3 linked regions of the Oryza sativa Japonica Group genome follow. The protein of the gene in region 1 interacts with the protein of each later gene in a pairwise test. Links are inferred from orthologs where the notes say so. Each region holds a gene or a part of one and is shown on either strand. Other genes may lie near its edges. The genes, in order: protein ACCUMULATION AND REPLICATION OF CHLOROPLASTS 3, chloroplastic; plastid division protein CDP1, chloroplastic; cell division topological specificity factor homolog, chloroplastic.

What was found.
Region 2: the proteins of protein ACCUMULATION AND REPLICATION OF CHLOROPLASTS 3, chloroplastic (region 1) and plastid division protein CDP1, chloroplastic interact in binary tests that used the Arabidopsis thaliana proteins (3 or more experiments, as listed by UniProt). The link is inferred for Oryza sativa Japonica Group from reciprocal best matches to the Arabidopsis thaliana genes ARC3 and PARC6.
Region 3: the proteins of protein ACCUMULATION AND REPLICATION OF CHLOROPLASTS 3, chloroplastic (region 1) and cell division topological specificity factor homolog, chloroplastic interact in binary tests that used the Arabidopsis thaliana proteins (3 or more experiments, as listed by UniProt). The link is inferred for Oryza sativa Japonica Group from reciprocal best matches to the Arabidopsis thaliana genes ARC3 and MINE1.

What each region holds. Positions count from the first base shown.
Region 1 is NC_089043.1:26,492,337-26,495,547, forward strand, and holds the end of protein ACCUMULATION AND REPLICATION OF CHLOROPLASTS 3, chloroplastic, read right to left. Parts: intron 3,063-3,211; coding exon 2,958-3,062; intron 2,864-2,957; coding exon 2,726-2,863; intron 1,666-2,725; coding exon 1,499-1,665; intron 1,409-1,498; coding exon 1,351-1,408; 3' UTR 1,238-1,350; intron 1,121-1,237; 3' UTR 628-1,120; downstream 1-627. UniProt on the Arabidopsis thaliana protein: Together with MIND1 and MCD1, regulates FtsZ ring positioning in chloroplasts in an ARC6-dependent manner. Z-ring accessory protein involved in the initiation of plastid division and division site placement (might functionally replace bacterial MinC).
Region 2 is NC_089038.1:35,030,628-35,034,380, reverse strand, and holds the start of plastid division protein CDP1, chloroplastic, read left to right. Parts: upstream 1-1,153; 5' UTR 1,154-1,359; coding exon 1,360-1,617; intron 1,618-1,874; coding exon 1,875-1,988; intron 1,989-2,103; coding exon 2,104-2,241; intron 2,242-2,728; coding exon 2,729-2,833; intron 2,834-2,910; coding exon 2,911-3,033; intron 3,034-3,113; coding exon 3,114-3,482; intron 3,483-3,561; coding exon 3,562-3,657; intron 3,658-3,726; coding exon 3,727-3,753. Other genes in the region: thioredoxin X, chloroplastic, read right to left, coding at 526-861. UniProt on the Arabidopsis thaliana protein: Component of the plastid division machinery required for PDV1 localization to constriction sites. Involved in chloroplast division site placement. Required for the proper formation of FtsZ rings at the division site in nongreen plastids (e.g. etioplasts).
Region 3 is NC_089046.1:19,400,497-19,404,249, forward strand, and holds cell division topological specificity factor homolog, chloroplastic, read right to left. Parts: upstream 2,562-3,753; 5' UTR 2,498-2,561; coding exon 2,381-2,497; intron 1,022-2,380; coding exon 428-1,021; 3' UTR 180-427; downstream 1-179. UniProt on the Arabidopsis thaliana protein: Acts as a topological specificity factor during plastid division and specify plastid constriction sites (such as the Z-ring) in a MCD1-dependent manner. Especially involved in epidermal plastids division in a FTSZ1-dependent manner.

The sequences.
Region 1 (3,211 bases):
TCCTCCACTGGTCGGCCAAATGTTTATGCGTCAACGTGCGATTGGATACTTGGATGGCCACATTATATTTTTGCCCCCCATTCAGGCATCTCACGTGTCATTTGTTTACACGGGAATCGCAGCCACGGTAAACGGCCACATGATGGGTGAGGCAATCACACATGAGCTCATTGATATCTGACTTCTGTCCTGTACTAACAATATGAAATTCTAGTTGAAATCAATCGACTTCAGGAAGTATAATACTGGGCTCCTAGCTCTGTGCAAGTATCTCTTGTCATTTCGGCCAGAATGGTTGAAACAAGAGGAGGAATATTGTAGATGCCGGTATCATCTGGCCAAGAAGGTGAGCAAGTGAGCAAGTTTACTTTCTTTATACCTAAGTGAGCAAGTGACCTTTTCTAGTAGATAGATTGGGCGGTTCAGTCTTCAGCTGGGTACTTGGGTCTTGGGTTAAGTATAGGCTGTGAAAATGTTAAATACTATCTGATGGGTTGCAACTTTTACCACCATCTGGAGCAATAACAGATTGCATGTCAAGCTTGCCAGTTAAGGATTTAACAACCCAATCACCGATTATTCGAACAGCTCAAATTGAATGAACGGCAACACTAAGCACTAGATCCATTAGCAAGTTCTGCTTCAAACTTCGAATTAGTGTGAATCTATTGATTGAATCATGTGAAAGTAAACAAACTTAAAATGCATAATCATCACTAGAACAGAATGTGTGGGTGATACTGACGGTGACAGGAAACAGAGAAGGGAAGGGTGCTGTGGGACCCCATATGTGGAAAATCACATACTCAGCTGGAATTGAGGGGGCAAAGCCACGAGAGCTTGTTCATCCATGCATTGAGTCCAATCAAAGAATATCTAGCGGCCATAAATGAAATCAATCAAACCTACTTCATGTAGCATATGCTTGATGCAGTTGTGTGACTTTTCCCTGATTTCCACATCCACGGTATGAAGAAGAAAGCTTCATCCCATTCTTCTTGGGATTATATACACAATTCACCAATGACTTTGCGTCAAAAATTTCATCAATGACTAACGCAGCTTTCAGAAACTAGCTTCAACTCTACAACAGTGCTTCCAACAGGCATCTATGTACAATCTGCAAAAGAAAGTGACAATACACAAGGATCATCGTTGGGTGTCTCGGTGAAAGTTGAAGCATGCATGAGTATATCCATCAAACAATGAAGTACTTCAGTGCAACGGAGGTACATACCGGAGTTGCGGAACGTATTGTGGTCGTGGCACTTGCTACAATGCAGTACTCCAACTTATGTGTAGTACAAGTGTACAACTTTACCAATAAAGTATGGGAAATAGTTTGGAGCCCTATTTTTCCAACCTAGTTTGACCAATAAGTACACCATCATCCCAAACTTCAATCCACCTGTAGCCATGGTTCATAGTAAGGTTAATTTAAAAAGAATATGCAGATGTAATTGTTCAGGAAAACACGTAAACACGAGTAGATGACAACCTCGATCCATTTGCATCTATCAACAGGGCCTCCCCATGGCGCCATCCATTTTGAAAATTGCCAAAGAAGACACTCCCATCTTTGGCATAAAATCTACCCTCACCATTAGCCCTCCCCTTCCAAAAGTTTGCAAACCAGCGGTCACCACTGTGAAAATAATACCAGCCCTAAATGAAAGGGGAGAAAACTCAGAACTTCACATGGAACACAACAATTTATAAAGTGTGATATTATTAAATCTAATATGAATATACATGTTCTGAATTTAATGCGAAGGTTGCCATCAAAACATCTGTATGAAATGTTCTGGAGAGTTACTGGGATTTTACAATCAGAATATATGATTTTTCAATGCGAAAAACTACTCAATGAACAGGACCTGAATGCAATGGTTCATAAGCGCATGGACTGGGTATAAATGAGTATGAGTGGATCACTGTGCTAGTTCATGTAATACTATCATCATAGCCCAATAAAGGCAGGAGAACCAAAGGAAGGAGAACTCAGGAAGGTAGGGAGGAAAAGAGCCATAAATTACATGGGAGTGATGGAGGTTAAGTTTACAATAAAGGAAAGAGCGTTACCTACTCCCTCCGTCCCAAAATATAGCAACCTTGTACCGGATGAGACACATCCTAATACAACGAATCTGGACAGGGTTGTCCAGATTCGTTGTATTAGGATGTGTCCCATCCATTACTAAGGTTATTATATATTGGGACGGAGGAAGTACTTATCCTCTTGGCAGCAATTCAGTGTACCAAATAAAGGATCAAAATTCATCAATACAGAATTGAGAACCCTAACAGTATAAAGAATCATAACACCTAATGTCCTAATCACAACAGAACAGAAAGAAGTAATGTTTGAACAGTACAACACTGTGCACTTTTTAGTTATACAAAGTGATCATCTATAAAACAAAAGGAAATAAATGCAGGAAGATTAGCTACACAAAGGAAATCAAAAGGAAAATACAAATCCTTTGGTAACAAATAAATCCAAATTACCACATTAAAGCAAGTTTATCTTCATATCTCGAAAGGAAGGTTGACTACCGTCATTTAAAGAATAGTATGTTAAAATAAACATCAGTGGCAAGAACATTACCCAACAAAGAAGGTGCTGAGCTAATCATCATGTTTTAAAGAATGCTGTAAATGGGAGAAGCCATACCTAACATGGACATCTCATAATTGTCATATTCAAATACAAAGTATACCATACCTTTCCATGAAAAAGGTCATCCCTCCATGTTCCATGGAATACATCACCATTACTGTAATAGAGTGTCCCTAGACCTGATCTCTTGCCATACCTCCAGAGTCCATCGTAAAAGCTACCGTCGCTGAAGGTTATGCGACCCTGTAAATTTTACGAAAAAAAATACCATTGAAGGGTTAGTTACTTAATTTCCTGTCAAGCCAAATGGAAGAGCACTTAGTTTACATGGATTCACCTTTCCTTCAGGGACACCTTCTTGACACCTCCCTCTGTAAATTCCTCCTCCAAACTGTATCTCAACTATGGGGCTCCATGTTTTCTCCAGCTCTCTTTCTGCATCCTACATGGATAACAATAGGTTTTGTAAAACAACACGATAATGCTAATAATTTTAGAGGAAACCAGAGTTCGTGTATGCCAATTCTCTTGTGTGTTATCTAACAGTACAAAAAGACCCAACTGCACTCTGGACTGGGAGAAAAAAGAGGG
Region 2 (3,753 bases), on another chromosome or scaffold:
ATTCACCAAACCTGCCCTGAAATGGTGTAGCCTATATGCCATTTTTTGAACTGCTACCTCCATTCCAAAACATAGCAACCACTTATGACTATGAATTTAGACATGCACATGTCCAGATTCGTAGCCAAAAGATGTTATATTTTGGGATGTAGGTAGTATAAAGGAGGTATGCGTTTGCACTTAACTTGAAGAGTGTACATCACAACAGAAGTATACTTGTTATAGACTGATCTTTTTACTCTCTAATAGTAAGACTTAATAGACTGATCTGAAAGCTTTTTGTTGTTCTCAGATGAACACCTAAAACCCACAGACAGCGGTTGGTAGCTGGTAACATTGGCATCGTCACTGCTGTCTAGTCTTAGTCTATAGTCCATGTCTGATGTCTCCATGGAATTGATATCTCTAGTAATTATTTAGCACACCAAAAATTCAATCGTTTTGAGTCCATGGTGGTTTATTAATTCTCAATTCTAAGCTATTCAGACAAGATGTAACACCAGAATGATGAAGGAAGTAGCAGACCTCGGCGGCCCAGTCGACGACGGGCGCGATGAGGCGGCACGGCCCGCACCAGTCGGCGACGAAGTCGACGAGCACGGGCAGGTCCGACTGCAACACCTCCGCCTCGAACTCGCTCTGCCCGATGAACCTCACCGCCGCGCCACACCGCACGCGCGCGCTGGCGATGCGGCGGCCGCCGGGTGGGGCGGCGGCGGGCCCCACCACGCGGAAGCTACCCACCGAGGCCGGAGGCGGCGGGAGGCGCAGCAGCGCGCCGGGGAGGAGGCGCGCGCCGCGCGCCGAGGAGAACGGCGGCGGCGCGAGGCCGGACGCGGTGGTGCTCGGTGCGGACGCCATGAGAGGGAAGAGAAGGGAAGGGGGATGAGGAATCTTCTCGAAGGCGCCACTCCGGCCACCAGTTCCCCTCCCCCCTCCGCGAGATTTGTTCGCGACGAAGCGGATTTTTTCCCCTCCGTTTGTGAGGCCTGGAATTCAGCCCACTTCACCACACCAAGCAAGTTTTCGGCCTGGCCCATGTAGGCCCAGAAACGAAGCCCATTGGGTAAGGACACGCGTCGGCGTCTGGGAGGGTCCACCTGTCAACGTCTAGGCTCTAGCACAAAGCGCATGGACCAAGTCCATCGCCATCATCGACCTTCCTCTCTCTCTCTCTCCGGCCTCCGGCTTCGCCTTCACGACGCCTCTCCTCCTCCACCTCGCTGACGCTTTGTCCCTTTATTCGCGGGGGCCTACGACTCGCCCGCCTCCCAAAACCCTAAAGCATCCATCCGCTCGCACATGGTGGCGTTGGCGAGGGTGGGCTAGGGTTGGGGGGGTGAGGTCTTCAGGCCAGCCATGGCGATGCCGACGGTGGCCGCGGCGGCGGCGGTTGTCCCCGGGGTCGCATGTGGGTCCTCGACGCGGCGTGTTGGGGTGGGAAATGGCAATGCGTCCGCACACGCCGGGGGTGGATGCCTGGCTGGCGGACGGCGAGGGGCGGCCGCGTGGGTTGCGCGCGCGAGGGTGGCGGAGGCGCCGCCGGTGGCCGCGGAGGGGAGCAGGCAGGAGGCCCCCGCCGCGCCGATGGTGGAGATCCCCGTCACTTGCTATCAGGTTTTTTTTTTTTTTGGCCACTCGTACTGTTTATGGATCCGAATTTTGGAAATGTGGTCTTATATCGTCGATGGATCTAGTTTAGCTCGGCTGGTCTCTGTTCGAATGATACAGTTGCAGATTAGATAGTCGTTTCTTGACCATAATTCAACTTTAGTGTTTGCACCACGATGCCTATTGTAATTTGCACTGGTAGTTCACACGCGTGACACGCCTCCCTGATTTTTGGAGTGACATGTTTCAAATGGCCAATGCAGATTCTTGGTGTTACAGAGAAGGCTGAGAAAGATGAGATTGTCAAAGCAGCAATGGAGCTGAAAAATGCAGAAATTGAAGACGGGTACATGGCAGAGGTGTCTACCTGCAGACAGGTTGCTCGCTGAATCAAGGAATTCTGGAAATATATTTGGATATACTGCTTTGTTTAATGTAGGGAATGCAGAATTCATGTGGTTAATCTTTGCTTATTTCTTTCATGTTTGGTAGGCTCTGCTGGTAGATGTGAGAGACAAACTTCTCTTTGAACAGGAGTACGCAGGAAGCATAAAAGAAAAGCTTCCACCCAGATCCTCTCTTCATATACCTTGGAGTTGGTTGCCTGCTGCACTTTGTGTCTTGCAGGAGGTAATGTGTAACACAGACATCCTTATTATTGTGAACAAATAAAGGAAAACCACCAAGTTTGGTTTAGGTTTGTCACCTTTTATGTTACATGACATAGTCATAGTCGTCACCATGACCATGCCCGGTATGTTTCTTTATAGGTCTGCCTTATTCTTTGTCAGAATACTATTCTCAATTCACTGAATGATTTGAAAGGGATCAAGAAGATTTAGGATCAATAATGTTTAACTAATAAAGAAAACTTTTATGCTAACTTCAGGGTAAATTATCCTTAGGAATGTGGTGAGGAGCGCGTAGGTTTTAAACTTTGCCCTTTCTTAGGACTGGGTAGCGTAAAATGCAGGGGATGCAGGTTAGTCACCATTATGATGTTTGTGAGTTCTAAGTGATCATGAATACAAGACACCTAGCAGCTTGAATTTATTAAAATTGAATGTACCATTATCATAATGAAATGGTGTATTACATGCTACAATATTCATTTCAGGTTGGAGAAGAGAAGCTAGTTTTGGAAATTGGTCAGGCGGCTCTACGACGCCCAGATTCTAGGCCATATGTTCATGATGTGCTTCTTGCAATGGCACTAGCTGAAGTAAGAAGCACACAAAATTTTAAATAACTGACTACAAATTGGTATATTTTGCAATGATTTGATGCATTTTCTTGTAGTGTTCTATTGCAAAAGCTAGCTTTGAGAAAAGTAAAGTGTCTCTTGGCTTTGAAGCTCTAGCACGTGCTCAATACCTGTTGAGGAGAAAACCGTCTTTGGAGAAGTTGCCCCTTCTTGAACAGGTTAATTTTTGTTGTTATCGCTCTACAGATTCTTCTACATGTAGAATTATGCCCTTAACTTATTTCATTGGATGAACTAGATTGAAGAATCACTTGAAGAGCTTGCACCTGCTTGCACTCTGGAGCTTCTAAGCTTACCTCAGACACCTGAAAACGCTGAACGCAGGCAGGGTGCTATTGCAGCTCTCTGTGAACTGCTTAGACAGGGTCTTGACGTTGAATCCTCTTGTAGAGTTCATGATTGGCCTTGTTTCTTGGGCCAAGCAATGAATAAGTTGTTAGCCACTGAAATTGTGGATCTACTTTCTTGGGATACTTTGGCTACAACTCGTAAAAACAAAAAATCGTTGGAATCCCAGAGCCAGCGGGCAGTAGTTGACTTCAATTGTTTCCATGTAGCGATGCTTGCTCACTTTGCGTTAGGGTTTTCAACCCGGCAGGCTGACCTGGTACCTTCTCCTTCTCAATAGTAGTAAACTATCATTTTTGCTATTTATGCATTATTTAACGTACAGTTCCTTTATGCAGATCAGTAAAGCCAAAACCATTTGCGATTGTTTAGTTGCATCTGAAAACACAGACCTGAAATTTGAGGAATCATTTTGTTTGTATCTCCTTGGAGAGGTGATAAGCTGATTTGAACTGCAAAAATTTTACTAGTTTACATTATCATAACTAAATGTTTGCTCTCAGGAATCTGGCACCACTGTTTTTGAAAAG
Region 3 (3,753 bases), on another chromosome or scaffold:
GTATCAGATATGTGTTCTGCAGTATGAAGATCGGATGATTATTAACTAAATCACATTACAAAACTGGGGCATGGCAGAACATGGTGTAGTCGTGATATGCATCAGGTGATGATTGATTTAATCACATTACAAAATTGGGACATGGCAGAACATAGTGTATCTGGCAAAACATCAGCACGAGCGCACAACGTTATTTTCTTATAAATAAACATTTCTTCGGAAAATCCAAGTTGGACTAACCCCACGGTACTGATATTTGCCACCTTCAGAACAAAAATTCAAAATAAAATTACATGAAACGCAGAGACAAACAAAAGCCTAGATATGTACATTAGACTAACCAAGATTGCGAAGAAAGCCTTCAACAAATTGAACATTCTAACCAAGGAGTTCTGGGATACTCGGAAGCAAAAGGGGAATACAACGGTCAGTAGTTCTTGTTGGGCACGAAGAAATCGAACGTAACGTCGACGCTGCCTGATGTTTCTCCAGTGTCCTTGAAGTCAACACCTACGATCTTCCCTCTGTACTGCTCTTCAGATTCCTGGTACTCAGGCTTGACACGGCGAACAGGAACGGTCACAGAATATACTGTGCCAAGGCCAGCATCAGTTGAGATATCCACCTGGACGTTGTCTCGTGATTCTATCTCCACGAATTCAGAGAGTGCCTCAACGATGTTCTCAACAATCTTCTTCTTTGCCTCGTCACTCACTTCACACCTGTCGGAGAACAGTATCATCTTAAGCCTCTGCTTTGCGATGTTTGCATTAGAGTTCTCCTTAATGCTTGGTGCTGGGAAGATTATCTTCCATGCTAATTTCAGACGATCAAGAAACCCCATGTTAACAATGTTGTGAAGAAAGCCTTCCACCTCTTGAGCAATAGGAGAGAAGTCATTCCTTGAAAGAGCAAAAGTCTGAATGGAGCTCTTTGAACAGCTTTGGTGCTCAATGCCTAGATGCTTAGGAGTAAGCATGATGTTGCAAGATCGTCCACGAGGAAATGAACTAAACTGTGCCTACAGAAGTAGAGGTAAAGTCGTTAGCTAATAATCCACTGAAATATGCTATTCCATAGAAAAAAAACAACTCTATGATGCAAAGAATATCCAATGTGAATGCAATCTAAAGCTGAGAATTATATGCAACTACACATTCAAGAATCAAGACAAACCAGAAATTTTCATTAGATTATGATTTTCAACCATTACGGAGAAGTTCAAACAAGGTTACTCCAAAGAGTTTACAATAGGAAAAGAAACATGGTACGCGTGTGTGAATGCACTATATGCTTTGCCAAAATTCAAGTTCGGCATCACTACCAGTACCAGTGTCAATCCAAGCAGGATCTGTTAGCACATTAAACAATTCAAGAAGAGTCTTTGCTACAATAGTCTCAGCAGCATATCTATGAAAATAATAGTGGAGTTAGCACATTTGGTCGCTTCATTCCAAAAGTCATCCAATATTAAATTGAGCAGAACCAGAACAGCACAAGAGCATGGTAGAATGATACACACTTTTGAGTTGTTATTAAGCATTTGAAACAGTTACCATTCAGAAACCAACCAAACAAAAACTTTATAATTTGCTCAGAACTCCTATAGGCAAGAATGGGACAAGCAACTAATGTGCTATCCTGACCTACTGTAATATGACTAATACTCATCTCAGGAGGTATAAAACAAAGGTTATTTAAGACTGAGATATAGAAAGATAGGCTGTATGCCAAATCCTAAATAAGAACATTGTCATTTCCAGTTCACACCCATATTTGACAACACAGTTAGGTTTTCACTCTCTTCAAACATCTAATATTAACTCATAACAGCAGATGTGCTTCGAAAACATTTGACTACACGAGACACCCAGGCCAGCATTTTGTGTCTACACCTAGCAATTACACTTGCTTGTACGCTAACACAAACTAGACCAGAGGTCGCAAATGTATAGCTGCGTCTTCCGCAGCTTTACATATCAAATTTCACAGCTTGACTAATATCTAAATCCCAACAGTTCCTCGTGAACCTCGCGACAGACCAGAATCAGAGCACACCAAAACCGCCGCTTTGGTAACGAATTCTAGTATTCTACAGCACTAGATCCAAGAGGATGTTGGAATCGAGAACGCTCAACATGAAAAATCTCCTCTCTCATTATTTTTTTCTCCTCCCCATTCCCCACCCCCACCCCCAAAACGAGGTGCAGCGGCACAATCTTTTGTTCCTTCAAAAAACAAAAAGAGGTACGAATCTATCATCTCATCTTCATCAGCGCGCAGGGATCCGAGATGGCATCCGGCCACGGGGAGACCCAACCTCCTCCATCTTATCTAGGGTTTTGGGGGGAGGGGAAAGAAGAAGAGATGGAGACCGGACCTTGGAGCTGGTGGCGGGGTTGCGCCGGCGCGGGGCGGGGAGGACGGAGGCGGACGGGGCGAGCACCGCGCCGGGCTCGCCGCCGAAGCCGGCGGAGATCGACGTCGCCATTGCCATGGCAGCTAGGGTTTGGTCTCCAGTGAGTCTCTGCTCCACTCTTGGTTGGACTTGGGATGGGAATGGAATTGGAAAGGTGGTGGCGTAGTGGTCACCTCAACTGGGGTACAACCGACAGTGGGGCCCACTGGTCAGTCTCACGTGTGGCCCTGGCTGGACGGAGAACAGTAGGTGGCTAGTACTCCCTCCGTCCCGGTTTAGCTGTCGCTGGGGTGTAGAGTTTGTCCCAGAAAGAGGATCGTTTAGGCGTAGGGCAGCTAGCAGGCTAGCCACTAGTATGAGTACTTCTATTAATTTTCTTCCCCATGCTGGTTGCAGACATATCAGAATGACAGGCGCAGTACTAGTTTTGTGTTAATTTTTAAGCATTGAAATGATTAATGTAGGGGCACGTTGGTCATTTTTCCAGCACCATATTTTGTCATCTCTTTCCTAGAACGACTAGTAAACTGGGACAGAGGGAGTACTTGGCGTACTTGCATATTTTTCCTATAGGAGAAAACACATTTTGTGCTAAGAATATACAAAACGATAAAAATATGGCGTTAGTTTTTTCTTTACAAATATGTTATTTTTGGTCCATCTGATCCAAATTAAGATTCATACCAGGTCCTAGTGAAACAAAATTAAAGCGTGCAAGCGCAAGGAATCGAGCTCAAGACCTTCTGGTTGGTAAACATCATGTGTTCGTCATGCAATCAAGCTGCCGTTTTTGAATTGAAACTAAATTTACATTCTACTTGTTGGAGATGAACCAAATCATTTCAATGTGCAAACTACAATTCACTAACCAGCAAACATATTTCACAAAATTAACCCTTCATCTTCGCATGAACTTTGAGAATTGTTTCAACTAGCAAATCAACAGCGTACCTACAACAAACACATGCACACAAGACACGGTGATTTACGTGAAAAAACCTTCTCAGTGTAAGGAATGAAAAACCACGGGACAAAATGGTTCACTCCAAGCTTCCACTATAATCAACAATAAGTACGATTCGAGTCTTCTCTAGAACATTTAGAGGCACATTACAACAGCAGTTATACCATCAAGTTACATACTTGTCAATCATCAACATCAACCATAACAACTAACAAGAGTTATAACAATAACAAGCAGAGAAATATCAGATTCTGTCCTCTTCGGTTCTCAACTAACATCTCCCAAACCATATATGCGAGTTACATGAAACTTGGTAGAAATGATGGTTTATGAGTCCCTTCCAAGCTGTCCAAAAACAGCCCAATCGGAC